Daphnia pulex: one gene and its partners. The protein of the gene in region 1 purifies or fractionates together with the protein of each later gene. This does not show direct contact. Links are inferred from orthologs where the notes say so. Each region holds a gene or a part of one and is shown in the gene's direction. Other genes may lie near its edges. The genes, in order: UDP-N-acetylglucosamine--peptide N-acetylglucosaminyltransferase 110 kDa subunit-like, CXXC-type zinc finger protein 1-like and paired amphipathic helix protein Sin3b-like.

Evidence for each region.
Region 2: the proteins of UDP-N-acetylglucosamine--peptide N-acetylglucosaminyltransferase 110 kDa subunit-like (region 1) and CXXC-type zinc finger protein 1-like purify together in Homo sapiens (affinity purification with mass spectrometry; 3 studies listed by BioGRID and IntAct, with this or other methods). This does not show direct contact. The link is inferred for Daphnia pulex from reciprocal best matches to the Homo sapiens genes OGT and CXXC1.
Region 3: the proteins of UDP-N-acetylglucosamine--peptide N-acetylglucosaminyltransferase 110 kDa subunit-like (region 1) and paired amphipathic helix protein Sin3b-like purify together in Homo sapiens (affinity purification with western blotting; 4 studies listed by BioGRID, with this or other methods). This does not show direct contact. The link is inferred for Daphnia pulex from reciprocal best matches to the Homo sapiens genes OGT and SIN3A.

The regions. Positions count from the first base shown.
Region 1 is NC_060021.1:541,846-552,371, forward strand, and holds the start of UDP-N-acetylglucosamine--peptide N-acetylglucosaminyltransferase 110 kDa subunit-like, read left to right. Parts: upstream 1-4,648; 5' UTR 4,649-4,795; coding exon 4,796-4,868; intron 4,869-5,099; coding exon 5,100-5,250; intron 5,251-5,308; coding exon 5,309-5,331; intron 5,332-5,402; coding exon 5,403-5,432; intron 5,433-5,497; coding exon 5,498-5,688; intron 5,689-5,748; coding exon 5,749-5,817; intron 5,818-6,621; coding exon 6,622-6,682; intron 6,683-6,760; coding exon 6,761-6,847; intron 6,848-6,913; coding exon 6,914-6,962; intron 6,963-7,608; exon of another isoform or gene 7,609-7,875; coding exon of another isoform or gene 7,876-8,015; intron 8,016-8,432; coding exon 8,433-8,520; intron 8,521-8,601; coding exon 8,602-8,668; intron 8,669-8,731; coding exon 8,732-8,778; intron 8,779-9,147; coding exon 9,148-9,383; intron 9,384-9,451; coding exon 9,452-9,605; intron 9,606-9,704; coding exon 9,705-9,777; intron 9,778-9,845; coding exon 9,846-10,054; intron 10,055-10,176; coding exon 10,177-10,422; intron 10,423-10,508; coding exon 10,509-10,526. Other genes in the region: protein sax-3-like, read left to right, coding at 1-452, 524-1,321; F-box/WD repeat-containing protein 11-like, read right to left, coding at 1,722-1,983, 2,055-2,123, 2,191-2,507, 2,572-2,697, 2,769-2,912, 2,995-3,183, 3,243-3,374, 3,451-3,590 and 1 more. UniProt on the Homo sapiens protein: Catalyzes the transfer of a single N-acetylglucosamine from UDP-GlcNAc to a serine or threonine residue in cytoplasmic and nuclear proteins resulting in their modification with a beta-linked N-acetylglucosamine (O-GlcNAc).
Region 2 is NC_060019.1:1,599,345-1,609,967, reverse strand, and holds CXXC-type zinc finger protein 1-like, read left to right. Parts: upstream 1-5,058; 5' UTR 5,059-5,224; coding exon 5,225-5,230; intron 5,231-5,345; coding exon 5,346-5,482; intron 5,483-5,560; coding exon 5,561-5,604; intron 5,605-5,665; coding exon 5,666-5,712; intron 5,713-5,781; coding exon 5,782-6,030; intron 6,031-6,095; coding exon 6,096-6,257; intron 6,258-6,316; coding exon 6,317-6,448; intron 6,449-6,514; coding exon 6,515-6,619; intron 6,620-6,680; coding exon 6,681-6,818; intron 6,819-6,885; coding exon 6,886-7,021; intron 7,022-7,086; coding exon 7,087-7,271; intron 7,272-7,332; coding exon 7,333-7,704; 3' UTR 7,705-7,782; downstream 7,783-10,623. Other genes in the region: protein Star-like, read left to right, coding at 2,413-2,539, 2,605-2,774, 2,843-3,033, 3,111-3,327, 3,394-3,534; uncharacterized protein LOC124190992, read right to left, coding at 3,909-4,282, 4,359-4,616, 4,683-4,818, 4,894-4,995; uncharacterized protein LOC124190982, read right to left, coding at 8,243-8,715, 8,779-8,931, 9,001-10,345. UniProt on the Homo sapiens protein: Transcriptional activator that exhibits a unique DNA binding specificity for CpG unmethylated motifs with a preference for CpGG.
Region 3 is NC_060024.1:9,528,754-9,539,073, reverse strand, and holds the start of paired amphipathic helix protein Sin3b-like, read left to right. Parts: upstream 1-4,485; 5' UTR 4,486-4,677; intron 4,678-5,184; exon of another isoform or gene 5,185-5,767; intron 5,768-6,858; 5' UTR 6,859-6,895; coding exon 6,896-7,057; intron 7,058-7,118; coding exon 7,119-7,451; intron 7,452-7,518; coding exon 7,519-7,679; intron 7,680-7,743; coding exon 7,744-7,864; intron 7,865-7,926; coding exon 7,927-8,143; intron 8,144-8,209; coding exon 8,210-8,652; intron 8,653-8,715; coding exon 8,716-9,250; intron 9,251-9,314; coding exon 9,315-10,320. Other genes in the region: ralA-binding protein 1-like, read left to right, coding at 110-266, 329-939, 1,000-1,102, 1,175-1,303; 40S ribosomal protein S27, read left to right, coding at 1,965-1,970, 2,229-2,337, 2,701-2,811, 2,927-2,955; AP-3 complex subunit sigma-2-like, read left to right, coding at 3,492-3,560, 3,621-3,712, 3,765-3,948, 4,015-4,239. UniProt on the Homo sapiens protein: Acts as a transcriptional repressor. Corepressor for REST. Interacts with MXI1 to repress MYC responsive genes and antagonize MYC oncogenic activities. Also interacts with MXD1-MAX heterodimers to repress transcription by tethering SIN3A to DNA.

The DNA.
Region 1 (10,526 bases):
GTCACAGCATGATGAGTCACGACCACCTGCAGCAGCAGCCGCAACATATGCAACACCATCAGCATCCGGGTCAATTGAGTCTCAGCTCGTTTCTACCCCGCCGGAACGCGAACGTTCCGCAGCCCCACCCGGCGGCCTATGCCACCACGACGTTGGTCGCTCATCGCAACAACAACATGCAACAACAGCAGGTTGGCGGCAACCACCACGACCCTTACATGGCTTCGTGTTCGGCCTTCTCCGCCTCCGATTCGAGCGGTTACACGACGGACGAATTGGGCGAGCGCTGCCGCCGGGCCTATCCATCAGGGAAGAGCTCCAAAAGCCGACAGAGTAACAATAGTAACGGTGTGAAACTGCTGCCCAACCTGGGTGAATTATTACCTCCTCCGCCGCGTCACCCCCCACCTTCCAGCCCTTCACAGAGCGTGTTTGATCGACCGAATCACGAGGTATAGAGTATCATATTCTCACGCATACAACTATTTCATTTAATCAATTTTCTTCTTTTGGAACTTGACAGACGTTAGCCAGTCATTTCGTTTTCAAGAACGCATCTCACAATAACGGACCTTCACTGCCAGTTCACAATTCGCCAGCCCTATCCAAGCGAAACGGATTGACTCCGACGGTTACTGGAGTGAATCCAACCAGGAGGTCATCAGTCTCCCCATTGGCCAGCAACAGCAGTGCCACCGGTTCCAACGGTTCAAGATACTCCCCCGATCACTACCAAGTTGTCGCCGAGGAGGAACCAAATTCGCCGGAAGACAACGAAGAGGTCAGCGACTCTGGAAGCAACGAGTACGCTTACGCCTATCACAACCCCATAGAAAATGTAAGGCCAACTGGAGTGATGCCCCCAGTCAACCAGGATCTTTGCAATATTGCCTATCCACGGCTCAACAGCTACGTACGGCCGTTTAACTCGCATCAGAACTATCAGGGACCACCTAATAAGCATCCCAACAGCAAGTGTAGTAACTACGATCCACCTCGCAGTCTCACAAGTCATTTGCTACCCAACGGCTCCTGTTTCGTCGACCGGACAGTCCAACCCATCGAATCGCCAAGGATTGCCATGAAGAATTTCTCGACTGGCAAACATTTTTCATACGAACCTTCTCATCATTTCCCCGAACGAGGAGCCCAGTCAGAATGCAACAACTTTGGAGGGGATGGCGATGATGAGGATGACAGCGGATCTGACGATGCTGGATGCCAAATGGTTTTGCAGAACGAGAACATCGATAACGAGTCTTCGCTCTATGCAGAGGCTCACAACTACGATCTGGCTGTTCACCAGCAGGCGAGAGAATAATATCATTCAGAGCTAATTTGTGAAATTATACGCACTTTTCTTGTGAAAAAAAAAATCAATAATTAATAATGACAATGAAAAATGTTCCCTGTAAATAATCTCGTTCAATTTTAACAAGTTATTGTCTAGTCATGTGGAAGCTTGTTTGTATGATACGTGTACAGCTACAATAAACGCGGGTCATTCCATGAATGCACTAGTGATTTTTAAAAATTATAGATGATTTTACGACTTTAGTTTCTGAGTTGGAAATTCAATTTATTTGCAAGAAAATGTTAGGAATTTGGATCAATAACAAAAGTAATGACATATCTGTATTGACTGATTTTTTCATTTAGCCCGAGATGAATGAAAGCAAAGTTGAGCAACAGCTGCAACAGGAAAAATTCTGCTGTACTGACTATTTGGCAGCATCCAAAAAGTTTTTCACACTTAGACGGAATGATCGACGATCAAATTGACTAACAAGGACTATCTGAAATTCGTCAACTGCTAATGATGGGGGAAACAGTATATCCAAGTACGGTACTGGAGGAGGTGGGATTGTCTTCATTAGACATCCAGGATTGGGACTACGATTTGATTTGAGAGCAGTCTGGAGATCCCAAATTTTTATTTTACACGAATTTTCGCAGCCAACGATGTATTTATTTGAAACAAGCCTAATTGAATGAATAAATTGATTAAATATGTATCAGACATCGAATTTTATTTAATATTTAATGTAAAATACCGGATCGAAGCGAGAGTTTCACGATGGGGAATTTTGACAATACATTGTCCCGTAACTACATCCCAAATTCTATTTTAAGAAAGGGCCAAATTATTCTGGTTAATGTTTTAAAATGTATGAATTTGAACGTGGTTACCTAATCGATTTTCCCCGGTCACCAGGGCCAGTAACTACCAATCCGTTCGCATAGTGGAAGCCAGAAGGGATGTCTTTGGAATTTAACTTGATAACGGATTTTATTTCAAAAGATGTCGTACTCCGAATTTCAACAGTCACATCTTCTGATAGTGACTGATAGTGTAAAAAAAAAATTACGGTGTAGATTTCGTCCACGAAAAGTCCCCACATAATTCCGGGTCCCACAATGACTGTCCTATGTAGTATTACTACTTCTTCACCCATGAATGGTGATAAGCATCTCAAAGTGAGAATCCAAGATAGACCTATTAATGACTTTAAGAAGGAAATTTGAATTAAATTAGCTTGAGCAAGCAAAATTGCAATAACTTTTCTTTACCCTAGTGTAACAGGATAACAGAAGGTTTTTCCATAGACTCAGTCCGCATTCTGAATGATATAATGATTCTTCGTCGTTTTCTTCTTCTTCTTGAATGCCACAGGAATCCATATCTATCACGTAAAGCTAGAGAAATAAAGCATACATTTCATTAAACTTGATGAAAAAGCATTAATTTTATATTGCAAATAATATACTAGATCCCTAGTTTTCGTATCCCAGACACATATTTCCGGATGGTGAATAAATGAAGCCACAATGAAGCTGTCGTTGATTTTAACGGATTTCAAAACCGGTATAATTTCGTTGAACTGAATTTGCATGATCGGGATTTCAAGAACCTAAAATATAAAAAATTATAACACATAAATTAAAAAAAACTATCAAATACCATATTCTATGGGTCTTTAATCAGAAACATACATCTTCGATTTCAAGGGTCCATCTATTTCGTATAACAATTCTGCGATCTGGCTGTACTCTGACAATCCAATCTCCATTCAAGTCATAATAGTCTGCTGAATTATAAAAAGTTGATAAATTATGGGAAATGCATCCAAATTCACTTTTGCGTTCAGAGTATTTCATCTTCTTCCAATTTGATTCAAGCACCTATTATCAAAGAAAACTTGATAAAGATGATAAAAAGATGACAAAATAAAATGTTAGACCTGTAATTCAACTTCAATTAAACAGCAAATTTTACGATAGTATTCAGCAGAGTCATCTTGAAAATCCAAACTTTTATGCTTCATTCCTTTCAAGGCAACAAACATATCCTTCCAGCATGGAAAGAGACGCATCTGGATACATAGCAAAATTATATTATAACATGGTTTGATACAACATAATAATCACTGCCATAATAAGCCTACTTACATTTCTACCGAGTAATGTTTTCCAGATTTTCCCTTCCAACAAAGCTTCTTGCCAAACGACGGATACCAACTCAGCCCGTCGAAGACAATAATAATCCAAATATCCAAAAATTTGATCCAATATGTGCTCTAGACCTCGCCCTGGAAACGTATAATAAGAAATAATAAAGTATACGAAAATCCCATTTTGATACTGTATTGCTTACGATGAAGGTTTTCAATCAAGTCCCACTCAATCATAACTGTAACAGAGTAAATCTGATTCGAGTGAATCTGAATTTGTTTACACTAAGAAATCAGTAGCCTAACCACAAATTCACAACTAACACAAACAAGTTGTTTGAATTTTTCACACATGTGATACCATGCAAGTCGTCTGCTTTGATAGAAAGCCGGAATGCTAAGTTGCAAAACTGCTGAGAAAGAAAATTTATACGGAATATTGAAATTGAGCTAATTAAACTAATAGAGGATAAAACGAAAGTGGGAAATTTAACGATTAAACTCACTTATCCTCAGTTTTGGAACTAACCATTTTGCCAACTTCTAGATCTAGACTCCTTTGATTTAGCGCGGGCGGACGGACGGCGGCGCGGGCCCAGATCACTCAGAAATTACCTATTGTTTTCTTCTCAAAGTAACTAAGTTAATAATAAATTTATCTAACTAGATAAATATAACAAATTTGAATAAGCTAAACAACAAAGCTAGTTTTAGACCGCATCCGCCTATCCCAATTTCCCCACCTTTTTTCACAGGAAGAGTTTCAAAGCTTGGCAACTCAGCATCCGTTACCGGTCTATAACTATAAGTGTTTTTGCTGTAATTTTTTTGTTTTTTTGTTTATTATAATGTCGTTATAATTAACGGCCGAGATTTTTACTGATGTATTAGTTATTCAATTACATCAATTCATTTACCCTTTGATATAATATTGGCTGTGGAAAATGAGATGGCGGCGCCACTTGACTCGCCTATCAAGGGTTCGCTGTTTAATTAATCGAGGGAAATTTAATTTCTATTAAAATTGTTTTTCAAATTTTTTCTATTGACTATTACTAAACACTAGTTTGATGAACGATAATAGCCTCCTACTTACCACTCAAATGCTCAATCAAACATTGCTTATCAGGGGCACGGCAGATAGAAAAGAGATGCGCCCTCTGGATTAGTTTATGGCATAAAAAACGCACTAAGTCACTTGAGGCTTTGAGCAGCACATACACTTGCTTACAGTGAAGCAGTCATTCCATTGTTATCGAGTCTCTTTTCCAAACGATCTAGACTCATCGTGTAGCCATTACTTGTTCCATCTTCCCATCAGTGTCAAACTTTAACACAGGAAAATGCAGTCACTTCAAAATCAACAAATTGCAGGAGGTATTGTTCTAAAGATACCTGATCAACTTTCATCTTTCAGTAAGTTAATGTCAAAGCAAGTTTCTAGTATCTTGCCCCATTTGTTTTGGAACATTGGAAGGGCAGAGATTAGATCAAACACGCGATAACAGGATGATGTTTTTACCGTCTATTTTTTTCAATTTTTCAAAAAAGTTATACATTCATAAACACATACCAAACATTTCTGTCAAAAAATTTTATTTCAAAATTTGCATTGATAATATACTAACTTTGTTGTTCATTCTTAAGGTTTGGCTGAATTAGCCCACAGAGAATACCAGGCAGGTGATTATGAAAATGCTGAACGTCACTGTATGCAGCTGTGGCGTCAAGATCCAACAAACACTGGAGTCCTTCTACTCCTATCTTCAATACACTTCCAATGTAGACGCTACGACAAGTAATATTTTACACATTTTGTACAGATTTCAATGTTTACAATTGTATTCTCGTTTCAGGTCTGCTCAATTTTCTACATATGGTAAGGAATTAAGGATATTTTGCAGAATTAATGCTGAGTTTTGTACTAATCTAAAAGTTCTTCCCTTCTAGCAATCAAGCAAAATCCACTATTAGCTGAAGGTAGTATTAAATTGTATTTGTTTTTGGTTTATGCACAATTTCTATAACTTTTCTTCTGTTTACAGCATATTCAAATCTTGGAAATGTTTTTAAAGAACGTGGTCAATTGGCTGAAGCACTTGATAATTATCGTCATGCAGTTAGACTGAAGCCTGATTTCATAGATGGTTATATTAATCTGGCTGCTGCCTTAGTTGCTGCTGGAGATATGGAAGGAGCAGTCCAAGCATATGTCTCAGCATTGCAGTATAATCCAGTATGTTGATTACTTTTGTTTTATTGAGTGCCTTTACTTATTAAGGATCAATCTTTTTAGGATCTTTACTGTGTCCGTAGTGACCTAGGGAACTTGCTTAAAGCTCTTGGAAGATTGGATGAGGCCAAGGTAAAGAAATCCAGTAATTGATCAGAAATATGGGATGCTCAGCTCATTTGTTTAATGTTCATATACAATGTGCTTCAGATTATTATTATTGTGTAGTACTATTGTTGATAATCATCACATGATAATGGCCCCAAAGTGGAATTTTAAATTTTTAGGTGGAAAAGACTTAGGACGTAATGTCTGTGATATGTTCATCCCGACACTCCATAAACTTTCTTGATATCTATAGGAAATGTGGTGGAAAATTCTGCAGTAATCCATTCTTCTGTTCAACGATTATGTTAATAGTTTCAGTTTTCAGCATATTTTCATCGAGATTTTCACGGAGAACCAACATATCGAAAATTTGTATGTGCATCTTCTGCTCCGAGCCATTTTTCATATGCTCCTCCTAAACCTTCTGCCTACCACATAGGATATATCCATAGGTTCTATCCAGCTAGACGTCTAAATGCAGAAAGCTAACCTCGTGGTGGATTCTACTTGCTCTTTTCGGTAGGCGGTAAGTGCAGCCGCGATGAAAACAACTCTAAACGCGCTCAAGCTCCCATAGCATGCGAAATTATTCGCCGCACCAGCCGCTATCCCTTACCCATGCTCCCTTGCGATTGCGCGCGCGCGACCCTTTACCCTTGTCAGCTAACAGCAGCGCATTGCCCATGATAAGTGTAATCTCCAGTGTAAGCCACCCAGAATATGGGGCTTACTAATATTCGAAACACTGATTAATAATCATAATTTGACATTCTTCAACATTTAACTGGGAAAATAATTTTATCCGTATTTTACTTCATATGTGGAAAGGCTTGCTATTTGAAAGCAATTGAGACTCGGGGTGATTTTGCAGTGGCGTGGTCCAATCTTGGTAATGCGTTTTAGTCAATTATTCAGAAGTTGTAAAATGCTAATTATCTATGCGTGTTTGTTTTCTCACGAAACGTAGGATGTGTGTTTAACGCGCAAGGGGACATTTGGCTAGCCATTCATCATTTCGAAAAGGCTGTCACTTTGGACCCCAACTTTCTTGATGGTAAAATACTTTTAACATTTGAAAATGTGAATTTACCTCATTTAACCATCATATTTCTTTTTACAGCTTACATAAACTTGGGCAATGTTCTGAAAGAAGCTAGGATTTTCGACAGGTAAGATTTAATAATATTATGATGTCGAAGTTCTTATATCGATAGGTTAAATAGTGTGAGGGATGGAAATAGATATTTTAAGAGATGTTGTTTATGGACGAGAAAAAAGTTGTTAAGAATGTTGTTAGTTTCGGTGATTGTAAATTTCTCGTCTCGTGCGTTTGTAGCTTGCGTCATTTCGAGTTGGCTCGTATGTGCTCTTCTTTTTTTTTATTTTCCTCTCTTGGTTTGCCACTGTCTTGCGAAAAAAAAAAATGCACAGGAAACGTGCCCTCATTTCGGTAGGACCCTTCTCCTTCTCCCACCCAAACATCACCTCCGACGTATTTATTTTTTATTTCTATCATTGAGGACTCTCCAGCCAGTTTTTTATTCTGAATGATGATCATAGTATTTATGATAACGATAGCTATGTCCAAGTTTCGTATTCGCGATCAGAAAATTATTTTTTAACTTTAGCGTTAATTTTGTGTTAAATTTTCAAATTATTTGTGCTAATTCTGGTTGTGCTTTTATTTTTTAGTTTATTTTTTATTAATGGGGAGGAGGAGGGTGGTAGTTAGAGTGTTAAGGGGCGGGGTGACCAGTCTACCGTAGATGATGTGGGGAAAGTTGAGTAATCGAAGGGACTGCGCACGCTCATTCCGATCGGTTACGCTCCACTCACGGGAGGTGGGATAAAAATGGCTTGGGCATCCTTGACGAGACACCAGTTGCCTAGCTTGAATCGTTAGGTTCGTCATGAAATTTTTTACATCTCCAGACACGTTCACTTATTGTTGAAAACATTTACCTGTCAACTAATTGTTTGACCAAAGTCAGAGTCTTCTTTCTTGTGATGCCCGTGTAGTATTCCTTTAGAATTCATAGTAACTCTGTAACGTTGGGCAAAGGTCATGCCCACGTTATCCAAATGGACTACCAGTGTGTGGTTATCTACACGATTGTCAACATTTCGGCTGATGAAAGTCGTTACCACTCTCTAGCTCAATCAGTGAATGACAGTAGTCTGCGCAGTGGATGTTTGGTTTGCGTGGTTTCTCGTCTTAAACGGTATGTCGATCTATTTGATGCAGTATAGTGTTTACAACATTCGCATGCGAACGAGGAGTGTCCTCCTTGCTGTTTTCTGCGATGACAGTGAAGAGAAGGATATCTAGTATGTAGTGCTATCTCTTCTTTCAACGCACGATATCGATTGATTCGCTCGAAACAACGAGGGGTAGGACAAAGGAAGTGCGCTGGAATCTGCGCGTCTCAACACAAGCGTCGGCAGACTAACCGAGTTGACAATTTTAGCCAGTGGGCATCTAAAATAATGTTAAAAATAGCTTTAAAATAAACTCTGGCCAGTGTTGGAGACTTATTTTGCCAATGTTTATTACTTGGCTGGTTTTACTTCCCTGTCGTTTAAATATTTGTAGAAGGGATATAAGTCTTAAGGTTTTTTTTTTTTTTTTATTATTGCAGGGCCGTTGCAGCATACTTAAGGGCGCTAAATCTTAGTCCTAACCATGCCGTCGTTCACGGAAATATGGCCTGTGTGTACTACGAGCAGGTAATTGAAAACTTAAATGTGATAAAAAAATGTAAATGCCTAAAGGCTTCTTTTTACTTGCTGCTTTATGGTACACTTTAGGGTCTTATCGACCTTGCCATTGATACCTACCGACGAGCAATTGAATTGCAACCGCATTTCCCGGACGGTAACTTGAATATTAAACGTTACTCTTAAATCTGTTATCACATTTCTACGTTTTTCTTTTCAGCGTACTGTAACCTCGCTAATGCTCTCAAGGAGAAAGGACAAGTACAGGTAATGAAATGATAGTTTCCAAAAATTCGAATCATTTTCGTTTTTATTGCTTGAACTTAAAATGTCCCTATGTTGTGTAAAATGACATTTCGTGTCTTAAAAAATTCATACTCTTGTTAAATAAGTTATCATTTTAAAAAGGAAAAGTTTCTTATTCTAAACTATAGTGAATGAAAGAGGGAAAAGGTTAAACCCTTCCCAACCTCCATAGTCTATTAATATACATATTCCTTTAATGAAGTAGGACAACCAAGTTTTGGTGGGTCGTTCCTCCTAACCAAGTCTTCCTTACTCGTTTTTAGTTCTTTATTTTTTTAGTTTCACTTGCCAAGAAAGCTAAAGCGAGTTTTTTTTTCTTGACTGTAATAGGATGCCGAAGATTGTTATTCGACAGCTTTGCGTCTATGTCCAGCTCACGCGGATTCGCTAAATAACCTAGCCAACATCAAGCGGGAACAAGGATTCATTGAAGAAGCTACACGGCTTTATCTTAAAGCTCTAGATGTCTTTCCCGACTTCGCGGCAGCTCACAGTAATCTCGCTTCCGTATTACAACAACAAGGCAAACTGAACGAAGCCCTCATGCACTACAAAGAAGCAATACGGTATGATTTAAAGTTCCGTCTTGATAATTCATGTCTAGCTTACTTGAAATATGTAACTTGAAAACTAGGATTCAACCGTCATTTGCCGATGCGTATAGCAACATGGGAAACACGCTCAAAGAAATGCAGGATATCAATGGTGCTCTTCAGTGTTACACACGAGCCATTCAGATCAACCCTGCCTTTGCCGATGCTCATTCAAATTTGGCTTCCATTCACAAGGTACGGTATTCACTCCCATTGTTAAGATGCTTCTAACGCTCTCATTGTTGCTTGTGGAACACACAAAATAATTCTTCTCTTATTTTGTTTCGTTAATAGGACAGCGGACAAATTCCAGAAGCAATACAGTCCTACCGTACAGCTTTGAAACTAAAACCAGATTTCCCCGATGGTAAATTTTATAATTAAAACCATTATTTTTGAAAACTGTTACTTATTTATTTATTTACTTTAATTCAGCCTATTGCAACTTGGCCCACTGTTTGCAAATTGTCTGTGATTGGACCGATTATGAAACCCGAATGAAACGGTTAATCCATATTGTGGGAGAGCAACTCGAACGCAATCGATTGCCGTCAGTTCACCCGCATCATTCAATGCTATATCCGCTCTCTCATGAATATAGAAAAGCTATAGCTGCTCGACATGCAAATCTCTGCGTCGAAAAGGTAAATATACTTAGACAATGAATTACTAATCGCTAGCTTACCGGTTAAGCTTCAGTAATCGCCGTGAATAACATTGACTTTTGGTATTATAAATGTTTTCTTTTTTTCCTATGTATTTGAAGATCCTAATCCTTCATAAGGCAAATTTCAAATATCCCAAAGAACTTGCAACGAATGGACGTTTGCGTATCGGCTATGTCTCCTCCGACTTCGGAAACCACCCAACAAGCCACTTAATGCAATCAGTTCCAGGATTTCACGAACGCTCCCGTGTTGAAATATTTTGTTACTCTTTAAGTCCTGACGACGGAACAACTTTCCGGGCCAAAATAGCGCGCGAATCTGAACACTTTGTTGACCTATCACAGGTAAACATACAACAAGAATCGATTATATTGCTGTATTGTGTATTCCTTATTTGGGAAATAGCATTAATGTTGAATTTCATCCTTAGATAATTTGCAATGGCAAA
Region 2 (10,623 bases), on another chromosome or scaffold:
TCTTTTCGGCGGGATTTAGTGGACAGGCCAAGTTTTGCAGGTGCTCATAAATATTTATAACTCTTGTCGATAAGAATCTGAAAGAAAGTTCTTTCCATTCTGTTCCTTCTAAACGAGTCTGGTGCGTTCGGGGAAGATGACATCAGCAGCATCGTGAAATGCTCACGGCCACCAACGCGTTTTCTCCGACGAGAAATTGCCAACAGGGCACCGCCCTGTATTCATGACCTTTCCATCGAAATCGTGATAATCTTTCGCCCAAACGGAGAAAATGTTTTTGGCGATCTGAATGAGGTCGTGATAACCAAACAGACATTTTAATTTAGAATTCGTTCACCATAAATAATCGGCCCACATATTTCAAAAACGGACATAGCAACGGCGGTATTTAGAAAGCCGAAAAGTAAAAAAAAGGCGCAGTTGTTATTATTTTGTCTGTCCTTCAAACAGGCGTGTAGTCGAAGAAGAAAAGAGCGCTATACATCCCTGACAGATCTTCGGTCGCTAGGGAGAAATTTTACGAGATCGGCACTTTTGTTTCAACAGAGAGAGGAGGCATTATGCTGATTCACTTTCCCAACAAGTCGAACGACGAGTTCTTGCCAAAATTTTAAAAAAGTTGTAACACCGGCTTACTCTCTCCTCCGCTTCTATCCACATACGTCGAAGAATGTTGATCACCACACAGGCTCAACACAGCCATGTGGTAATAATCAGTGTAGCGTAAACGCCTTTTTTTCTTTTTACCATCACGTTGGTTGCTGTAACCCCCCGGTGAAAAATTCTCGGGTTGAACAAACTGTCTAACTCGACAAGCAATGACCGCGCACCGGCCGGTGCTTCATCAACGAATATTTATTATGTTGATAGCCTCAAGTCACTTTTCAAAGAATAAAAAAAAATAAAAAATGAAAGATTGATATACACACTTTTGATTTTAATGACATTGTGCATTCAAATCAGGTCGGTCACGTTCTCGTTCTTTTCCGAGAGAGCAAAAAAATTTCGTTTTGCTTTACAAGGAATGACAGTAGAAATTTCGAAATAGGTACAATTTCTGTTGAATAAAAAAAAAATGACGATCACATTATGATCGCTTTATATTTTTGAAAAAAAGGAGCCCTGTGGCGTTGTTTCAACAATCGTGCTGCAATACAACACCAGAACCACTTTTGAGTCTAGTGATTCGAATTTTATTTTTCCTTAATGTAGCCAACCATGATCGTTCAATCACCCCATTTAATAAGAGAAAGAAGTTATTTTAAGAAATGGTTGCGGTAATGATCTGAATCTCCTCCTCTTAAAAATTAAGGAGACTATGGAAATCGCTTTTTTAGTTTTATTTGGTCGAATCGGAAGATCGAACGTAAACAATGGAGAACCAGTTTGATGAATTTTGATCGAAATCGACGAGCGTAAATAAAACCCAATTTCACACGTGTAAATGTTTTCTCTAGTTAATCCTAAAAGATACGATTATTTCGCAAACACATTATTATCAAAAACAATGTGAATAAAGATATAAAATACTCCATCCGTATTTTATTGCTACTAAGTTGCAATTAACTGCAATTTTGTTTTTATAGAGTTTTCGATTAGCGTGACCAAAGTTTTCTTTTATATATTGTTAAAACAACTAGCATTTAAGTTTTTTATTTGTTTATTTGGCAATAATTGGTTCTCCAACAATTTTTCCAGAATTTTTATTTCAAAACTTGGCGACGCCTTCTGTGCTGCAAGTCCGCCCCTCTTTTGGTTGTTGAGGAACAACTTAGTACACACTGGTTTTGCGGGCCGTAGTCGACGTACTCTACCGCGAAGCAATTGTCACTTTCACTCGGGCTCAGTTTGTTGCTTTGTATCTCATATTCTGTATTAATGTTTGTTCTTTAGAAAGCTCACCTGTAAAACAGTTCTTGTGTGCCACTGTACGTTATGAGTCGAGTCCAATACGTTCTCTGTACATAGGCACACACACACACGTATCTCGTTCAGTAGTACCTGTCTTTATGTGTGTGTGTGTATCATATTTCTGCTCCAAGGTATCAATCGTTTTGTGATTCAACTATCGAGAGTGTAATGTTCAGTTGGCGATAAAAGTGAAGTCTACGTAAAGAAATTTTTTTTTCAGCAGCTGGGCTGTTGATGGAGATCCGTCTGCCAATTTTCGCTCGTCGTAAGAGAAACTTTCTCTCTAATAAGTGTTACCCTCTCCGCACCTGTGTATTTCGTGCTATGCATTAATCCAATGAAGACTCTGCTGTGGTGTTTAATTATCACTTTTAACTTTAAATAAGGAATGCATTTTAGCTAACTGACATTTCTAGCTTGTCATCACGTTCAAGTGCAATAACAACTCTGCAAAAGTTTATTAATCCGTTACTGCCCAGGTGTCAAACCTTTTCTCTCGAAATGAGTCCAGTTCTCAAGCGACCTGTTGTGTTGTTCATGGGGGTGTGTTTTGCCTGTGTGATATTGATATACTACCAGTCCAGTCATTCCCAAGGAAAACCTCACTATAGTGGGGTATGCAATACAGGTGTTGTAATGTGTCACTCATTTATTAAAGATGAATTCAAACTAATTCTCGTTTCAAATTTTCAGAAAATGTGAATTCAGCAGTTATGGATCAAGATGACCCCTGCATATTAAGTTTACTGCGTGGCCAATACTTACACCCTCCATCTAAAAATAAGCTTAGTCTTGAAGCACCAGAGGTTCCAAATCCTTCCATGGGGCAAGCTCAAAGTATACTTGAAATCTTGAAAAATAAGGTACAATAACAGTTTATCACGAAAGGTTGTTCGCATGTTTCAATGTTTATTGTACTGTTGCCCAACAGGAGAATGGCTTTTTTGTGGAATGTGGTGCCTTGGATGGCGAACTTCGTTCAAACACTTTGTTTATGGAACGAAATTTAGGTTGGGAAGGCGTTTTGATTGAAGCCGACCCCAAAAACTTCTTGAAAGTTCAAGAGAAAAATCGTCGAGCATGGACTGTTCCTGCTTGCCTTAGTACCTCCTCCAGTCCTAAGTAAATATTGACACACTTTTTACAAGCTTGACAAGCACTTTAATAATGAGCCTTTCATATTTGTTTGTTGTATGCAGAACTGTAGTATTCAAACAGGCTTTCAATCAAGGAAGAATCTCTCAAAACCAACTCGACGATCAGAATCGAGTGGGAAGCGTCCAAGTCCAATGCTTCCCAATATATTCTATCCTTGCAGCCCTCAACCGAACTGAAGTAGACTACTTCAGTTTAGATATTGAAGGCGACGAATTAGCTGTTCTGAAAACCATACCGTGGAATAATGTCAGAATTCAGGTATACTTTAAAAGCAAAATATATTTCATGTAGATATTTATTAACAATTGTTTATTACGTTTGTAGACCCTGTCAGTCGAGTTTATCCATGACAAAGAGGGTAAAGACCAGATTAGGGAATATATGACGTTGCAGGGCTATGAAGTGGTCAAAGAAGTCACCGACCCAAATTGGCTCGCAAACGATTTCATTTTTAACAAAATTTAGCCTTGAATCTAGCGTTATTGGCTGTTTCACGAGCGATCGGATATGCATCCCCCAAGCTGCTAGAGTGTTACCACATTTTTACTGAGCAAGCAACAAATTAGCTCTGGCATTTTTCCAAAGAAAAGCCGAAAGCTTCCTGGATGGAACAAAAACTCTGTTGTTTCCTCACTCCTGCCCAATTAGAAGACTAATGTTTTTTCCAAACAGTTTTATTATCATTCTTCAAAGTTGGCCAATATAGTTCATATACAAAAATTGCTTTCCTTGGTTTTCTTTCAACGTGCTCTTAGTCCAGCGAAACAGCCGAAGCGTAAACAACAAAGAGATAGCATATAAAATGGATCGATTGTGCTTTTTTTTTGAAATTACACTAATCACATACTCAAGTACTTGACAAAATTGGGCATAGGATCATCTTTACCGATAAACGCAAAATGTGGATTTAACTCTTCAATCTTCTTCTCGATAGACAGATTAGAAAATAACTCATCGTAGTTGTAGCCGCAAATTGTCTGGTGGTTCCACGCTTTTTCAATACGTTCGTCGACCGTTAACGAACTCTGACGGTAATTGACTTCAGACGTAGGAGCAGCAATGGTCATTTGCTCAAACGCTAATTTTCTGCCAGGAAACGTTTTCAAATTCTTTAAATGACTTTTTCCATTCAAATGATCCTGCATGGGTATAGGGCCTGAGCAAGTAAAGTCAACACAAACTTTACATTTGTATGATCCATCAGGTTGCAACACTGAAAATAAAGCAAATAAATGTTACAGCTAATGCAATTTTTTCTGGTGACTTGTGTGGAGTGAATAAGACTTTACATGCTGAAGACACATCGGCTAATGCAATTGGTAAGGAACCACTATTCATTGCTGGTGGAGAGTGAACTAGAGGAGCAGTTGGTTGCCGTTGACCATAAAGAGGTGACTTGACAGCTGTGTTAAACTGAGTGGACTCTTTGCCACGCTGGACGTTTTTCAAATGCTTTTTTCCTATCAAATGCTGCTCAAAAGGTATGTGACCACAACACTCGAAATCATCACAGCTTTTACATTTGAAATTTCCATTGGGCAAGACAACTATGTAAAAAAAATGAACATATTGAATGCTGGTATCAAAACACACAATATAAATTGAATTTATACTTGCTGCTGACATGTCAACTGCTAGGGGCTGATTCATTGTAACAGCTCTCATATGCTTCCCACCAATTACATGGGCATCCCACTGAGATTTTGAGTTCATTTGGACCTTACAATGAGCACAATAAAACTCGGCCATCTTTTCACGACAGTAAATGGTCAATAAATAATTAAAAGGTAAATTAAACTAAGCTATTTGCTAACTGCTTTTTACCTTTATACGTAAGTGAAAAACAGGATTCTGAGTACAATAACGTGGTGTTGTTATCAAATGCAAATATTGTGAATTGTTGACAATTGAACCATCGACTGCCATCTACCAGCGATCAAATAAGCTAGTACGATTTTAATAGCAGTTCCCTATCTCCTCGCCAGTTAGCACTCAGCTCAGCTTGTTGACAGATCACAATTCGACAACAAGGAAAGAAAGACACTTTTTAAAAAGAGTTGAATCCGCACGTTATTGAATCAAATTTCGCTAGTATCAAGAACTTTTAGTAATTCACCGTTTCAAGTTGTTTGATTATCTAACCTACCTCCTAAAAATGTCGGTAAGTGAACTACGTGTATATTTAGGCCTACGTGTTCAGTACTGTTACCTTCATTCTGTTATGAACAACTTTTGAATAGGAGTTAAAAGTCATTCTTTTTTTTTTAAATCTATAGAAAGATTACATATCAAAACACCATACATTGCCGGAGAGGCAATCTAAAATTGACCTTATGATGAGGCAAGAAGAACATGGTCTTGAAGAACAACTTTACTGCATCTGCCGTAGTTCTGATGCTAGTAGATTTATGATGTAAGTCTTCTAGAAACTAAATCTAGTTTTTTTCATTTTAAAAATATATTTTATGCATCAAATTTTCTATTTATTCAGTGGTTGTGACTATTGTGAAGATTGGTATCATGGAGACTGCATAGGTATATTGTATATCTGAACATAACTAAATAATGTAATTGGAACATGCTTAAATTTGACTAGATATTACTGAGGAAGAGTCCCGCTTCATAAAAAAGTTCTTCTGTCCAGTAATGCATTGATTTTTTATTTCTGTATTTTGCTATTTTATTTTTAAAAAATGTATGATTAATTTTTAGAAATGTAGACAAAGGGATCCCAGTTTGACAATCAAGTACAAACAAAAGAAATTAGAACAGGCAGGAAAGGAAGAGGCAGCAAAAAAAGCAAAGAAACGACAGGAAAAGAAGGAATCTACTCCACAATATCCCCATTGTGGTGAATGTATCGCTTGTTATCGAGTAGATAACTGTAACAAGTGTGACGCCTGTAAAGGGAAATCTCGTCAACAATGTAAATATCGAGTCTGTCTTACCTTCGCCCCAAAGGTATTACTCAATTTTAAAAATTTTACGCATAAAATAATTACTAAAAATGCATTAAATATTTACAGCAGAAGAAAGTCGAGATAAAATCTGAAGAAGATGAGCCTGTGGTAAAACCTGTCCTGAAAGAAGCAAACTATTCCGACGATGACGTCTGGGAGCCAAGTCTTCGGAAAGAGAAACCTCCTGTTCCAGCCCCTAAACCATCTCGACATTCAACCAATAAAAAGGTGTTTTATTTTTACTTCACTTCCAATTTCATTCCCTTTAACTAAAATTTCTGTTCCAGGAAAAAACAAAGGGGAGATACCGTTCCTCTGCGACTACTGGGGAACATCGCCGCAGAAAGAGAATTACGTCGTCGACAGATTCTGGAGGTGAAAGCGAAGTTGAAAAATCTCCGGCTCGGAATAAACAAAAAGTAAAGCATACTATTTCTTAAATGGTTTTATGTGGTAATTTATTGTTATTATCAACACAATTTCAGGTTATCCACTGTTATGGTCCCCAATGCATCAACGCTTCCCGACCTGGAAGTAAATATTGCAGTGACCAATGTGGTCTCAAATTGGCTACTACTCGTATTTATCAGGTTAGTTATTTTAATAGTTTTGTAAATAAAAAAACCGTGGGAAAATGTCGTTTTCGTACAGATTTTGCCTCAACGCATTCAAGAGTGGGGCTTAACACCTTGTATAGCCGAAGAGAAGAACAAGAAAGAGTTGGAACAAATTCGTAAACAGCAAACCGATGCCCGTGAAGCTTTGGAAGAACTAGATCTCAAACAAAAGGTTGAGTTTTATCATAGTGTTAAGTTTACTGGCATGTATCTAAAAGATTATGTTGATACCAATGCAGGAATTGGACGTAATAACAGCAAAGGCGAAAAAATTTACAGTAGACATAAACTCTGACGATGAAGCAGATGAAGGTGGAGACGGCGAAACGGAATCGGCCACTGTTCAGTGCGTTACTTGCGGCATCGGTGTTACACGTAAGTAAATGATCATTGGATAGTTAGGGTCAAAAATCATATTCCTTTTTAATATACTTGTTTAGAAACCAATGCCATTCGGCACATGGAGCGATGTTTCAACAAATACGAAAGTCAAACTTCGTTTGGTTCAATCTTCCAAACGAAGATAGAAGGCAACAACATGTTTTGCGACTTTTACAATCCAAATAACCGAACTTACTGCAAACGACTTCGTGTTCTATGTCCGGAGCATTGTAAAGATCCCAAGGTAATTTTCTCAAGATATATTAAGTTCGAATCTATGAAGTGTGACGTCTCCTTTTGTATAGGTCAATGACACTGATGTATGCGGGTATCCGTCGGTACGGAACGTCTTTGATGAAACTGGCGAATTCTGCTTGATTCAGAAGAAAAAGTGCGTCAAGCACAACAATTGGGAGAAGCTAAGAAGAGCCGAGATTGACATGGAAAGAGTTCGCCAGTGGCTGAAACTCGATGAACTATTCGAAAAAGAACGTCAAATCCGAACTGCCATGGCGCAGCGCGCTGGACTTTTACCGCTCATACTTCATTCAACTTTCAATCATGAATTAATGCAACAACAGCAGCAACAGTACGCTGGTCAAACTGGTGTTACCTCGGACAGCTCTGAGGCCTATGCAGCAGCCAATAAAAAACTTGCCATGGAAGACGATACTTAAGGTTGATTTTGTTTACATCATGTGAGGAATATCTCCGAACCTATTGTGGTGATAATAAATTTCATTGATTGATTGTTACTGCGATTTGATATTCAATTTCTAATTTGTAGTTTAATTCTCGGTTTATAGGCCTACTCATGACATTTATTTAAAACAAATTTCATGCCACTTTTTTAAGCTTTTCCCGTCATTGCCAATGGCATTTTCATGTGGCAACCACGCATGTTATTCGCAGCAGCAGGAAGAGGGAAAGGGTTATTTACTTATTTTGGAATTTTAGTCTTTTGTGTGGTTTGACACCTGAAAAGTGAATCTGAAATGGATGCACAATGACATATTTTTATTTTAAACTTGTGACTTTTTTTTAAGCTAACTTTAGCCAACATATTTGGTAAGCAGCACGATCTATTTTCTTACAGCATATTCTTAGAGATTTTGTCTGAGCCGGTTGTCCACTTAGATTATTTAATTTATAGAAATTGTTTTCTGCATTAGTAAATTCAGCCTCCATTTTGCTTCCACTTGCAGTTTAACTTAATTATAATGTAAGATTCCCATATGTTTCAACAATATTTTCCTGTAAGAGAAAGCCATTAAAGTTATTGAAATAATCTCCACGTATGCCCCCTCCTGATGTTGACATGCTAAAAATCTGCAACCATATTTCATCCCCTCTTTTCAAATTGAGTGTCGATTGTAAGGATAGCATCTCAGATTGACTACTCTCATCAGAATGACCAGCTCCCATTAATTCATCATTTTTATATAATCCCATATTGATAAACTGATATGTTGAACCAAATACCATCACTCCTGAAAAGGAAAAGAAATAAGTTCCTGATACAGGGGCTGTAAATTTTCCTGTCTCCAAGTTCATGGCTCCTCCTGTGTTTAGTCTTTCCACTTCGAAAGGAATAGGAATATTTTTTTTCCCAAACTTGGTTTTTCTCTGCACGAAGAAATAAGTTGGCGATGACTTGACGTCTAAAAATCCAATCAATTTCTGGAAATCTGCAAAGGTTGACTCAAATAAATAGATCCGTAATTTGATTATAATATAATTGAGCTTTATACCCGCATCACTGGAAAGCTTTGTAAAGTTGCAATAGACGCTTTTAACCGTTTGAGCTCCCATAATCGAATACAATCCGCTATGGGTGTGTCCGATCCTCCGAAGATCGTCGCAAGATCTAGGTATTTTGTCGAAGTTCTCTGCGCTTGTTTTTCCTGTTCATTTGGATCGCAACATACTTGATAGGTTTTTATTGAGATGCATTTAGCATTACCATTTCTTACCTAATAATCCTTTTGTCAGATTGGCTACGCTGAGCTTGAGACTGTGCCATTCGTCTGTGACTGTCATGTCAGCATTTTGGGCGAAATTCATAGGGATCGACAGGGCGGCGGCGGTGTAACGGATAGACACTTTACGATATTGCAGCGATAGTTGGTCTCTTAACTGTGCCAGTTTAAATCTATTGAGCGACAGCAGTTTGGGAATGAATTTATCACTAGCCCAGATGACGTGGTCTTTACTTTCTCGATAAAATGTTTCGATACCCTCCTTCGTCGTTGAGCCGTGACGGTATAATTCGTTAGTAGAGTTTGCTTCATCTGCAAATAACTCGATGAACTTTGCCACTTCGCCGTCTATTTTATCTGCATGGTGATACAACCTCCGCAACTTTTCTTGTCCTTCCGTGTTCATTTTTTCAAAAATTTTGTTCAACGTGTCCGAAGTTTTATCCGGTCGGTAAAAGTCGTCTGTCCAAAAGACCAAGTCCCAATCGCTTTGATCCTTAATGGTGGCCGTGGAAGAGAAGAGCAAGTTGTTCAACGAGTTATAAACAACCCGTCCCGAGTGAGGTGAAACGATATCCGAGTCCTTGAAAGTATCCATCAAGACATTAGTTGTCGTTTCTGCTAAAAGTTGCTTCTCGTCATTGGCAGTCAGGAAAACTTCTTTTGTGTCTTGACTGAATCTTCGCTGTAGTTTGTTAACCATTTGACTCGAAATGACATTTTCCATGCGGATGACTGTGTCCTTAGTTTCCGTAGTCTGACACGTCCAACTGAAGAGAAATTTTAAATAGTTGAACTGTTCGGGTTTGGAGCGCATGTCTTGAGCGAGTTGGTCGCAAACATTTCGTTCGAAACACGAAAGAGAAAATGGCAGTGATTTGTGGAATTCAAAAGGCAGCCAATTGGTGGTTAAAGAATCAGCTTTTGGTGGTATTGTACTGACGAGTACCACCTTCTCGAAGGGTATCACTTGCACTTGATGAGGTTGAACTTCGTGATCGACTACTTTGCTTAAATACTTCACCACTTCGCTTTCGACGATATCGTTCCACATTTCAATGCGGAATCGAATCTCCTGGAGCATCGTGATGTTGTTGAATTGACTGACGGCACTTTGGTGATCTAGCAGGGCGATGGGAGCGTAGAAAAACTTGTTGTTGCTTTGGTCACTTTTGTTATTGCTTGCGTGTTGGTAAATGTTCACTCGAAAACTGCCGTAGGGCATAGAGCAAAGTTCAGTAGGAGATATTTGCAGTTTAGTCCATGGCGAAATTTTGGAAGTGTTGGATGGGCAGACATTCACCAGTACCAAAATCGAGACGAATAACGTAGTCCACATTTTAGTCGTGTGTGCGAATTCTTCTTTATTTTGAAATTTCCAAGATTTAAAAAAGCAATTAAAAGTCGAATGGGATGTTAAATGGAGCACGATGGAGCACGAAATAATCAGTTACTGTCGTTGAGAACGGTCAAGTTTCAACTGTTCCCTGTTGTTGACTGTGTCTATACTGAATAGGGTCACGCCGCTAGGTTTCCGCTCATCATTCAAAATATTTAATGGGAGTTTCTCCTTTCTAAATATTTTATTTGGTGTGAATCATAATTTTTTTTTTAAAT
Region 3 (10,320 bases), on another chromosome or scaffold:
TTATTTATTGTGTGGTCTGTAGATAGGATGCAGCTCACAAAGGAAGTGGGCGGATCATCCGCTTGGTTTTTAAAGCCTTAGTTTGAAATTTTACACTTGTCAATTTTAGGTACATCCCACCTCTATCGGGCGTTGGGGTTAGTTTACCCGATGACTTGGAGGCTATGGCAACTGAGCTGAAGAAACAAGAATCCCTGTTGGCACAGATCCATGGCGAGATGAGTGTCGGTTCTGTGGCGAAACACCGTGAGGAACAGCTTTGGGAAGTAAGACTGCTCTCCCGTCTTCATCGATAACTGAATTTAAAATAATTTTACTTGCTACTCAGGCACAGCGAATCGTTACGCAACTCAAAAGACAATTAAAACATCAAGCACCGACCACTGTTACTTCTGCCCCTACTGCGTCCCAGAATGCGCCTTCAGGAGCTGGAAAACCACAGGATTTGCAAGATGCAGGATCAAGCGGACACGACGTTGAGTTACGACTGGAGCTGGCTCTTCCTACAAAAATATCTGCCGAAGAGGCCACTCAGTTGGCTGAATCTGGAACTGCTGATCCTGAATCTTGCAACGAAAAGGACATTGTTGAGCAGGAACAGGATTCACAGAAATGTCAGACGCTTCAGGTTGACGTTCACGAACAAGATTCTGATAGCATTCCAGAAGAGCCCTCGCCCGTAGAACCAACAGAAGTTTCTAATCATGTTACAGTTATTGAAATTAGTGGTCTTCCGACGGAATCAAATCTATCCGATAAAAATGGTGTGTGGAAGGCTGCAAAATTTGAAACACCGTTAACGACTGAACAAGAACTGGAACTGCTCCTCATGATTGAAAATCATGAACGAGAAAAGATTATCGAAAAGCTCGCTGAAGCCATCGAGAAGGAGCGCAAGTCTGTGGAAAGACTACAGGAAATTCTAGCAGAAAATACAACGTAATTAAGTTAAGTCTATGTCAATTGTAATAAGATTAGAATGCTTGATTTGTGTTTCAGATCATGGAGTGACAGCTCTGAAGATGATGAAGGTCTTGATGTAGGTGAAGAAGAACAAGAACAGCTTTTAGCTGAAGTGCTGCGTGAAAACCGTCAATTAGAGGTAGGTTTAACTGTAGTGTAGATCTGTGTCTCTTATAGTAAATTTTTCAATGATTTTGTTTTAAATTTATAGGAACAGAACATGTTGCTGCAAAATCAAATCGAAGAAGTGGGAGAGGCATGCTTAAAGTTTAGAGCTCAGCTGCGATTACGCGAGGAAAGGACAAAATTACTAACTGGTGGAAACGGAATTATCACTTAAATCTTTTCGCTGTATAATCAGTGAATTGTCACTTTTGTCCTATTGCTTGTCGTTTTTGTTCAAATAAATGCTTTTAAAAACTAACTTACCTTTCATTGTAAGCAACAAAAGTATTTATAAGGTGTGTTGAATGAAGTCAATTCCGAAAATTCCGTAATCAGTTAGGGTTCTATTAAAAAAAAAGATGTTTACTATTTAAAGACGTTAAGACTTTTCACTTTTTGTCTTAAACTCCGATTAGTTCAATCATTCTTGATTCTTGAGTGCTAATATTTGATTGATAGATTTGCGTTTGTGCTTGCGATAAAAGTTGTTTCGATAAAAGAAAACACTACGCGCTATTTTTTAAAGTTGCTTTTAATAGACTGAAAAATTTGACGCCAGGTGGCACTTTTTGCATTGAATTTTTTTTTACAAATTTAACTGAAATACAATCGCAAAATAAAAGAAGTTCATTTTACGATATTAATTAGTAGAAATATAATTAGACAGTAAATTAATTATTTATCACATTCATAGAACCAAAATAATTTAGGTTTGCATTGATTATCTGACATCTGGCACTCCAGCATCCTTGTGTAGCCATTGCCAAGCGTAGTGAAATAGACAATTTCACTTCTTTTCGTAAACGTGTTTAGCCGGCTGAGAGCTCCCTTACAAGATGCCCGTGAGTCCCTTTAATTTAAATATTTTCTGTGTTGTTTGACGATATCCTCAAATTGTTTTCACCTAATAGCGAATAAGTTTTGTACTTGCAATAATTCTTCTTAAATTTCCTTTGTCGATCTCGTGTATTACTTCTTATTGGGCCATGTGCCCTCGCATGAGGCCCTATGGCGGCCATCTTTATCTTGAAAAAAATGTCTTCCTGTGTACAGAAAAACAAGATTTTTCGTCTCTTAATTGAGTTAATTTTTATTTTCAGCTCGCACGTGATTTGTTGCATCCTACTCCGGAAGAGGAGCGCAGGCGGCACAAGCTGAAGCGTTTGGTTCAACATCCCAACAGTTATTTCATGGATGTCAAGTGCCCTGGTAACTATAATCTGATATCTTAAAATTTCATGAAATCAATTTTGCCAGGCAACTACACCTCATCGGGGATTGTTTGAATGCACATATGATAGTCCAGCTTTTTCTCATATGAATTAGTTGGAAGAAAAAAAGTGCAACATTATTTGGAAATTCTTGGCAGAACTGAATGGATAAAATGACATAACAGTTTTGAGAAATTCACACAAATGAATAAAATAGGCATTACCTATTGTAAAGGGAATTGATAAATTTGTAGTGGGTTATTCACAAAGTGAGCTGGGGCAGTCTAATTTTATATTTTTTATAGACATGGCTCAAACACCAGTATATGATGTTTGTTGTGATACATTTCTTTGTTCCTAGGCTGTTACAAGATCACCACGGTTTTCTCCCATGCACAGACTGTTGTGGTGTGTGCTGGCTGCTCAGCAGTGTTGTGTCAACCAACTGGTGGACGAGCCAGGTTGACTGAAGGTAAATGATTCAATATAACAATAATCTTGATGTCTCCTGAAAGTAGCAGTGTAGAATGTTAAACAGAATTCATGTTAGTTTCTTTGCAAAACTAATCAAATCGTTTTCTATTCAGGCTGCTCTTTCCGCAGGAAACAACATTGAAGAAATATGCAGTTTGGCCTGGCTGCACCTTATTGTACTTCATCTAAGATACCATTCATATGTAAAGAGTGAATACAAGTTGCATTGTCAAGGCTATTCTGAGTCTTTGTTTAACTGTCTGAAAAGTATAAAGTGTATCTGTGCAAATAAGCCTTAACATGGCAAGTCTCGTATAATTCCTTCTAACACGCAAATCGTAAAGGGTACATCTTAAAACCGCGGACATGTTGGGACATGTCTATGCTGCAATGCTAATATGACGTCTTATTGTGCAACAGACGATTGACACGTTACGGTCGTGACATTAAGGACAAAGTCAATGTATGAAAATTAAACCTGCGAGTAATGTCCGACTATCCAAAATAAATATTTCATTATGACTGACATTGACATTTCCTATTTATTTATTTAAAATTTTGGAATCAAAGTTCTAAATCTGACCACAAGATGTCTAATTGTCGTTATTTGTTTCGTCTGTCTTGACAGATCGTGTGTGCTGAGTACTTGTTTCATTCTTGAAATCTAATTCTTCGGAAATGATCAAAGCTATACTCGTGTTTAACAATCATGGAAAACCTCGTTTATCCAAATTCTACCAATATTTTGTAAGTTGAAAACGTTTAGGCGCTTTATACTATTGAAACTAACAAGTGAAGTTGTGACAGAATGAAGACATGCAACAGCAGATTGTTCGTGAAACTTTTCAGCTTGTTAGTAAGCGCGATGATAATGTCTGTAATTTCCTTGAAGGTGGAAGGTATGTTTAGTTATAATTTGTTATAAAAATAGTTTTTAATTCTGAATTTCAGTTTGATAGGAGGATCTGACTATAAATTGATCTATCGCCATTATGCTACTTTATATTTTGTGTTCTGTGTTGATTCCTCTGAATCTGAGTTAGGTATACTAGATCTCATTCAGGTATTTGTTGAAACCTTGGATCGCTGCTTTGAAAATGTTTGTGAACTGGATTTGATATTCCATGTGGATAAGGTACATTTATTTATTCCTTCACTTGTCAATTGTCTTTTAATTTTCTACTATTTTGATATCTTCTAGGTTCATTACATCTTGAATGAGTTAGTCATGGGAGGAATGGTTTTGGAGACCAACATGTCTGAAATTTTAAGTCGGATAGAAGATCAAAATAAACTAGAAAAATCAGAAGCAGGGCTTATTAGCCTCAAGAATGTGAATCTTCCTAATTTACCCAACATTCCTCAGCAGATAAAAGATATTAAACTTCCAGATCTACCTCAAGCTATCAAAGACTTAAAATTCTAATGCAATGGCTCTCAATTCTAAATAATTTTTGCTGTATTGAAATACACCATATATACGTTTAAATTATGCTGTTATTATTATTTTATGTCTTTTTATCAAATTCGTATGTTTATGTTTTATCAAATTCGTGATTCTGAACGTGATAGATGGATTAAAGATTTTCGTGAAAAAAAAATAGCTTTTAGTACTGTACGATAGATGGCCATTTTCCTATTCAGTTTGAACATAACTTCCCGCTTTCAAACAGCGCCTGCTGTATTTTCCCATCTCGCCGCCATCATTCGTCGTCTGGCCAGTTAATACCTCTGTTCCTCTCTTAAACAACTAACGTGTATTTCAATTGTTGGTGAATTTCAGTGATTTTTCTCACTTTAAGAAGCATGCTTGAGTGATCTTTGATCAACTAGAGACTTAACTAGCAACATTTTCTCTCTTTTGGTAAGTTATTCGACTTTATTCGTTATTCATCTCGTTAATGGTTTTCTTGGGCATCACGGCATCACGAAGAATTTGCAAGTTCACGCAAGATGTTTATTTGATGGAATGGGAATGTTTCAGCGTCGTTTTATCGTTATCAAAACCTGTTAATCGCGTAAGTCAAATAAAGTACGGTTTTGACGTTAATTATAGAAAGACATGATCGTTTAGTATGTGTTGAGCTCTCTAGGATCGAACTTGGGCTGTTTGAGCGTGGCAACACAGCTGATGGTTTGTGTCCCTTTACCCAACCCCATCATTCTGGATTTTCTTACCTCCCTCAGGCTACGCGTTTCCGGACCTTTTGAGAGCAGGCAGGCCAGGCCTCTCTACCCCCTCTCCCAAACAACACCCAACCCCTCGTTTCGCTGCATCCCGATAGTGCAGCATTGCCGGTTTACCAACTAGTTTATTCGCATTTTTAGAGTTTTTTAAAAATCGAAATAAAACGTCATTTTCCACATTTCGAAATTGTGTTTATCGCAAGTGACATGAGAACGAGCGGCGAATATTGTTATCAGAGTTACAAGTCTTAACGCGATCGATTGTTGATGGTTTCCAGCGCCAGCACTAGTCGCTCCGTATCAGGCATGGCGAGTAGTGTCGGTAGTTTCAGACGCCAGCAAATTCGAGTCACTCTTCGAAAGAGCACTACAGTGAAAAGCCTCTGGGTCGTCGTCACCTAGTTGTGAGAGATCCCAGACGACGTGTGTGTGTACATGTTTGCCTCTGCTCTCTGTGTGGCATAGTGAGAGATTCCTGAAGAAAGTGAACGCCATTTCTTCTTCATCGTGAATTAAATTGAGTAAAGGGTTTGCAACTCGAGTTTCACGTGATTCGACCGTTAGTGTACTCAATCCGGCGATAGTTTCTTGGAACTATCCGAGCTTAAACGAGAGGGGGAAAAACGACGGCCATAGTTTCTCTTTTAGTACTACTGCTGCTTTAAGCAGAAACACAGTGTAAGCGTCGGCGTTGTGTGAAACTTTCGATCTTCGGTTTTCATAGTTTCTTCACATGGACATTCACCATTCATTTACGCTGCTTAAAGGTGACCTTCATTGACCTTACGTTTTCTTTGATTTCTCGTAATCGACTCGTTCATTTTAGTCGTGTCTTGGTCGTGATTGCTCGTCTTTCATTTCCCATTCTTTTAACATAATTTACTTGATAACAAATGGTTGACATGGAATTGTAATGATCTAGATTTGAACAGAGGAAGAGTTTTTAAGTCCCGTGAGACTTGAAAACTTGTAGCAAAAGAAATGTCTTATTATGTGATGTGACGTGTGTTGTGTACGGCATTCCTGTGCTCATTGCTGGCCAAAGTGAAGCGGAGACCGCTCTTTTTCGCCTTTCGATGAGCCAATAAGAAATCGGTTTCAAACCGCTTCACAGCTGTTCTGAGGTTGTGCGTCTCCCTTCGAATTCTACCCAATATGGAGTCGGTCCACTTAGGTCGGCGTTATTATCGAAGCGCTTCGCATCCACTATTTCCTCCAGTGTTTAGTCTGCGTTAGTTCTGCTGCAAAGTAAAGTCTATGATAATGGTTTCAGAGGGAAAACAGTGGAATATCGCTATTTTTTCATTGTTACAGAGGTTGTTGGATGCATGACGAAAACGGGATTTTTGTTGATTGAACGTGTCTATTGATAGGTACAAGTCCGTTCTGAATGGTCTAAAAGCGGTTTTAGTGGGACCGCAACGTTGCCATATTTAGTATACTCCGTCTCCCACATACTATTTCCGGAAAGCATTTGAAATCTCGTGGCAATTGACGTTTAATTTCGAACATCCCTTTTAAATGAACAAAACTGTCTTTTTAAATTTATTTGCAGCAACAAATTTCAGTTAATATTTCTTTAAATCCAGTTGTTGTCTGTAAATTCCCGATTTCCTTTGTCCGGCAGCAATGTTGTCGTTTCTCTTTGGGCGGGAAAGGCGGTGGGATCGATATTTGTGTTGAGACCCGAGGAAGAAGACTCCCGGGTTAGTTGAATAATCGATCCGTCCGCTGAGCAACAGACGCAGCTCTGCAAAAAGTGTATTTAGCTTAAAAATAAAAATGACTCTGAAAACTGCATTGCTGGCGTCCAGTGGGATTTGTTTACTAACTGTCTGTGATTTGTGTTCTTCTACAGTCGGCTGTCTAAGCAATGCCCTACAGCTGGATTGAGAATGAAACGCAACGAAGATTCCGTACACATTTCGCCCTCCGCCGTTGAGTCTGTAGCACGACCATTGAGTGGATCAATCCAGTCCGGCCGCGTCTCCCCTACGTCACCTATGGTGAATGCAATACTAGTTGGAGACTTGAGGAACGCTGCAAATCAGTTACAGGTACATCCTTTTCCCATAGTGTTGCTGTGCCTGTATACTCAATATATTCATTGCTAAATAGGAGCCCTCCATAGCAGCAAGTATGGCCTCTTTTAGTACAAGTGGGTTTGTGGCAGCTGCGAATGGCAGCACCACAGTTACAATTGGTCCTATTGGCACCAGCCCACCAGTGCCATTCTCTACTACTATTCAAACAACGAAAGCCTCCACTGCTGGTGGAGCAACACAAGTTGTGGCTCAGCAACAACACATCTTCCATCAGTCCCTGGCACATCAACAAGCACGTCACAGTTTGGCTACTGCTGCTGCCCCAGCTGGATCTCCTCCGACAGGTCAATCAACATCTCAGCAGACACAACAGCAGCAACAAAATACAATGCAACAGGCTTTTCAGGTGAGAAACTTTAAACATTTAATAGTTTGTGTGTGTCCGTTATTGCTAACTATGTATGTCTCTATAGCAAATGACTGCTGGTCCTCATGGCCCTGGTGCCCAGCAATTTCAGCGATTGAAGGTGGAAGATGCCCTTTCATATTTGGATCAGGTCAAATACAAGTTTGGCAACCAACCTCAGGTTTATAATGATTTCCTTGATATTATGAAGGAATTTAAATCTCAAAGGTAAGCATGGGTGTTGATTAAAGAAAAGTAAGGCTTTGATTAACATGGAATTATGATCTTCTAGTATCGACACACCCGGTGTCATTGCTCGTGTTTCTTCTTTATTCCGCGGCCATCCGGAGCTCATTGTGGGATTCAACACTTTTTTACCTCCTGGATACAAGATAGAAGTTCAAGCTGAGCAGGTTTGTTGTTTGTTTTTTTTTAAATTGTATCGTAAATGTTTACTGATGAATGTGTCTTCTAGGTTTCTGTTAGTGTTCCTGGTAGTCTTGGTGTCCCTGCTCACATCCACCACATCACACATGGCCCAGTACCAATAACTACCACTACTACTCAGCAACTTGATGTGGTTGCTCGAAGCACGCCCCCGATTCAGCAAGTTAGCATTACTACCGTTCCGCAATTAACTGTTGCTGCACCAATCCAGCAGATTCCAGCAGTGGCGATCCCGGTCAAAGAAGGTAAAATCTTCGTGTATTTTTATTCTGGCTTGACAAAATTGTTTTAACCCGTTTTCCTCTGTTTAGTTGTACCTACAGTAAAAGCTACAGGGAATTCTCCTATATCGAATGCTGGTTCAATTTCAACTGCAGCCACTACATACAGTTTGGGCTCTCAACAGAAAGAATCATCTTCCAGTCCTCAACTAGGTTCTGCCGCGCATGGATATGCAAACAGTTCATCACAGGGTGCAGCCGCTGTAGTCAATGCAGCATTTGGTGTTCCAAATGCGTCGCAGCCAGTTGAATTTAATCACGCCATTAATTACGTCAACAAGATAAAGAACCGCTTCCAGGGTCAACCGGATATCTACAAACAGTTTCTTGAGATACTACACACGTACCAAAAGGAACAGCGCTCGCTGAAAGAGGGTCTCGTCAGCCCACTAAACTATCGACCTACATTGACTGAAGCTGAAGTCTATGCTAAAGTTGCTCAACTCTTTCAAAATCAAGAAGACCTCTTACAGGTTAATTTCTATATTGTTTTTGGTGAAATATGTTTATTTATGCTGTTTTTATTATTATTTTAGGAATTTGGCCAATTTCTACCTGATGCTACTAATGTTACTCGTGGCGGTAGTTGCGGTGGTGGTTTGGTGCCGGTCACACTGCCAGCCATTCCAACGGGGCATACAAAGAAGCCAAGTCCTGTCACCGAGACATCTAAGCCTCCAGTGCTTGCAAGTAGTAACTTAACCGGATCATCAGTTGCACCACCGCCGAAAGCTCCACTTAAACGTCCTGCACCTCCGCCTATCATATCGTCCCCGACGGTCGGTATGAATTTGATTCCGAAAAAGAAGCCTCGACTAGATCCTGGTAGCGGCAAAGATAACTCGATTGCCGAAATAGGAAAGTTTGGCACAATGAACGAATTGGCTTTTTTCGACAAAGTAAGGCGCGTCGCTTGCCGATCACGCGATGTGTACGAAAACTTTCTTCGTTGCTTGGTCATGTACAATCAGGAAATAATCAGCAAAATGGAGTTGCTTCAAATCACAACCCCCTTTCTAAGTCGCCATCCTGATCTGCTCAAATGGTTCAAAGATTTCCTCGGACTCAAAGGTTGTTATCTTTTTATTGGTTTACTGTATCTTTTAATGTTGTAACATATTATCTGGATCTATAGAAGGAACTGGCGTTGGAGGTTACTTCACTCATGTTGAAGCTCAACCTATAAGTTTGATACGTTCGCGAATGGAGCGAGAAATGTATCCTTCAACCAAGGATGGGAAAGAGTCACGGGACCACGACATGCAAGCAATGGAGATTGACTACTCGACGTGCAAACGTCTCGGTACATCATACTGCGCTCTACCGAAAAGCTACGAACCTCCAAAGTGCTCCGGACGAACGCCGCTTTGCAAAGAGGTGCTGAATGAGACCTGGGTCAGCTTTCCCACTTGGTCAAGCGAGGATTCGACTTTTGTTAGCTCTCGCAAAACGCAATACGAAGAATACATTTACCGGACAGAAGATGAACGCTACGAGCTGGATATTGTGCTAGAGACGCACATGAGCACGATACGTGTTCTAGAAGGCGTTCTGAAGAAGCTTAATCACCGAATGAATGCCGAAGAAGCCAATCGGTTCAAATTGGACGATTGTCTTGGTGGATCTTCTCCTACCATCCACATCCGGGCCATTCGACGTATTTATGGCGACAAAGCGACCGAGATTATAGAAGGGTTGAAACGAAGTCCTCAAGTGGCCATCCCCGTGGTGCTCCGTCGCATGAAGGCAAAAGAAGAAGAGTGGCGTGAAGCTCAGAAAGGTTTCAACAAAATATGGCGTGACCAGAATGAAAAGTATTATCTCAAGAGCCTCGACCATCTAGGAACTAATTTCAAGCAAAATGACGTGAAAGCGCTTCGCTCTAAGGCGCTTATCAACGAAATAGAGACACTTTTTGAAGAACGTAATGAAGAAAACGCCAACAAGACTGATATGGGCCGTTCAACTAATGCAAGCAGTGGGCCTCATCTTAAATTAGTTTACAAGTCACGCCAGAAGGTGCTGGATGACGCAGCTGATCTCCTCATTCATCACGCAAAACGCCAAACTGGCATTACTAAAGAGGATAAACGACGCATCAAAACATTATTGAGGCATACGGTACCCGATCTCTTCCGTCA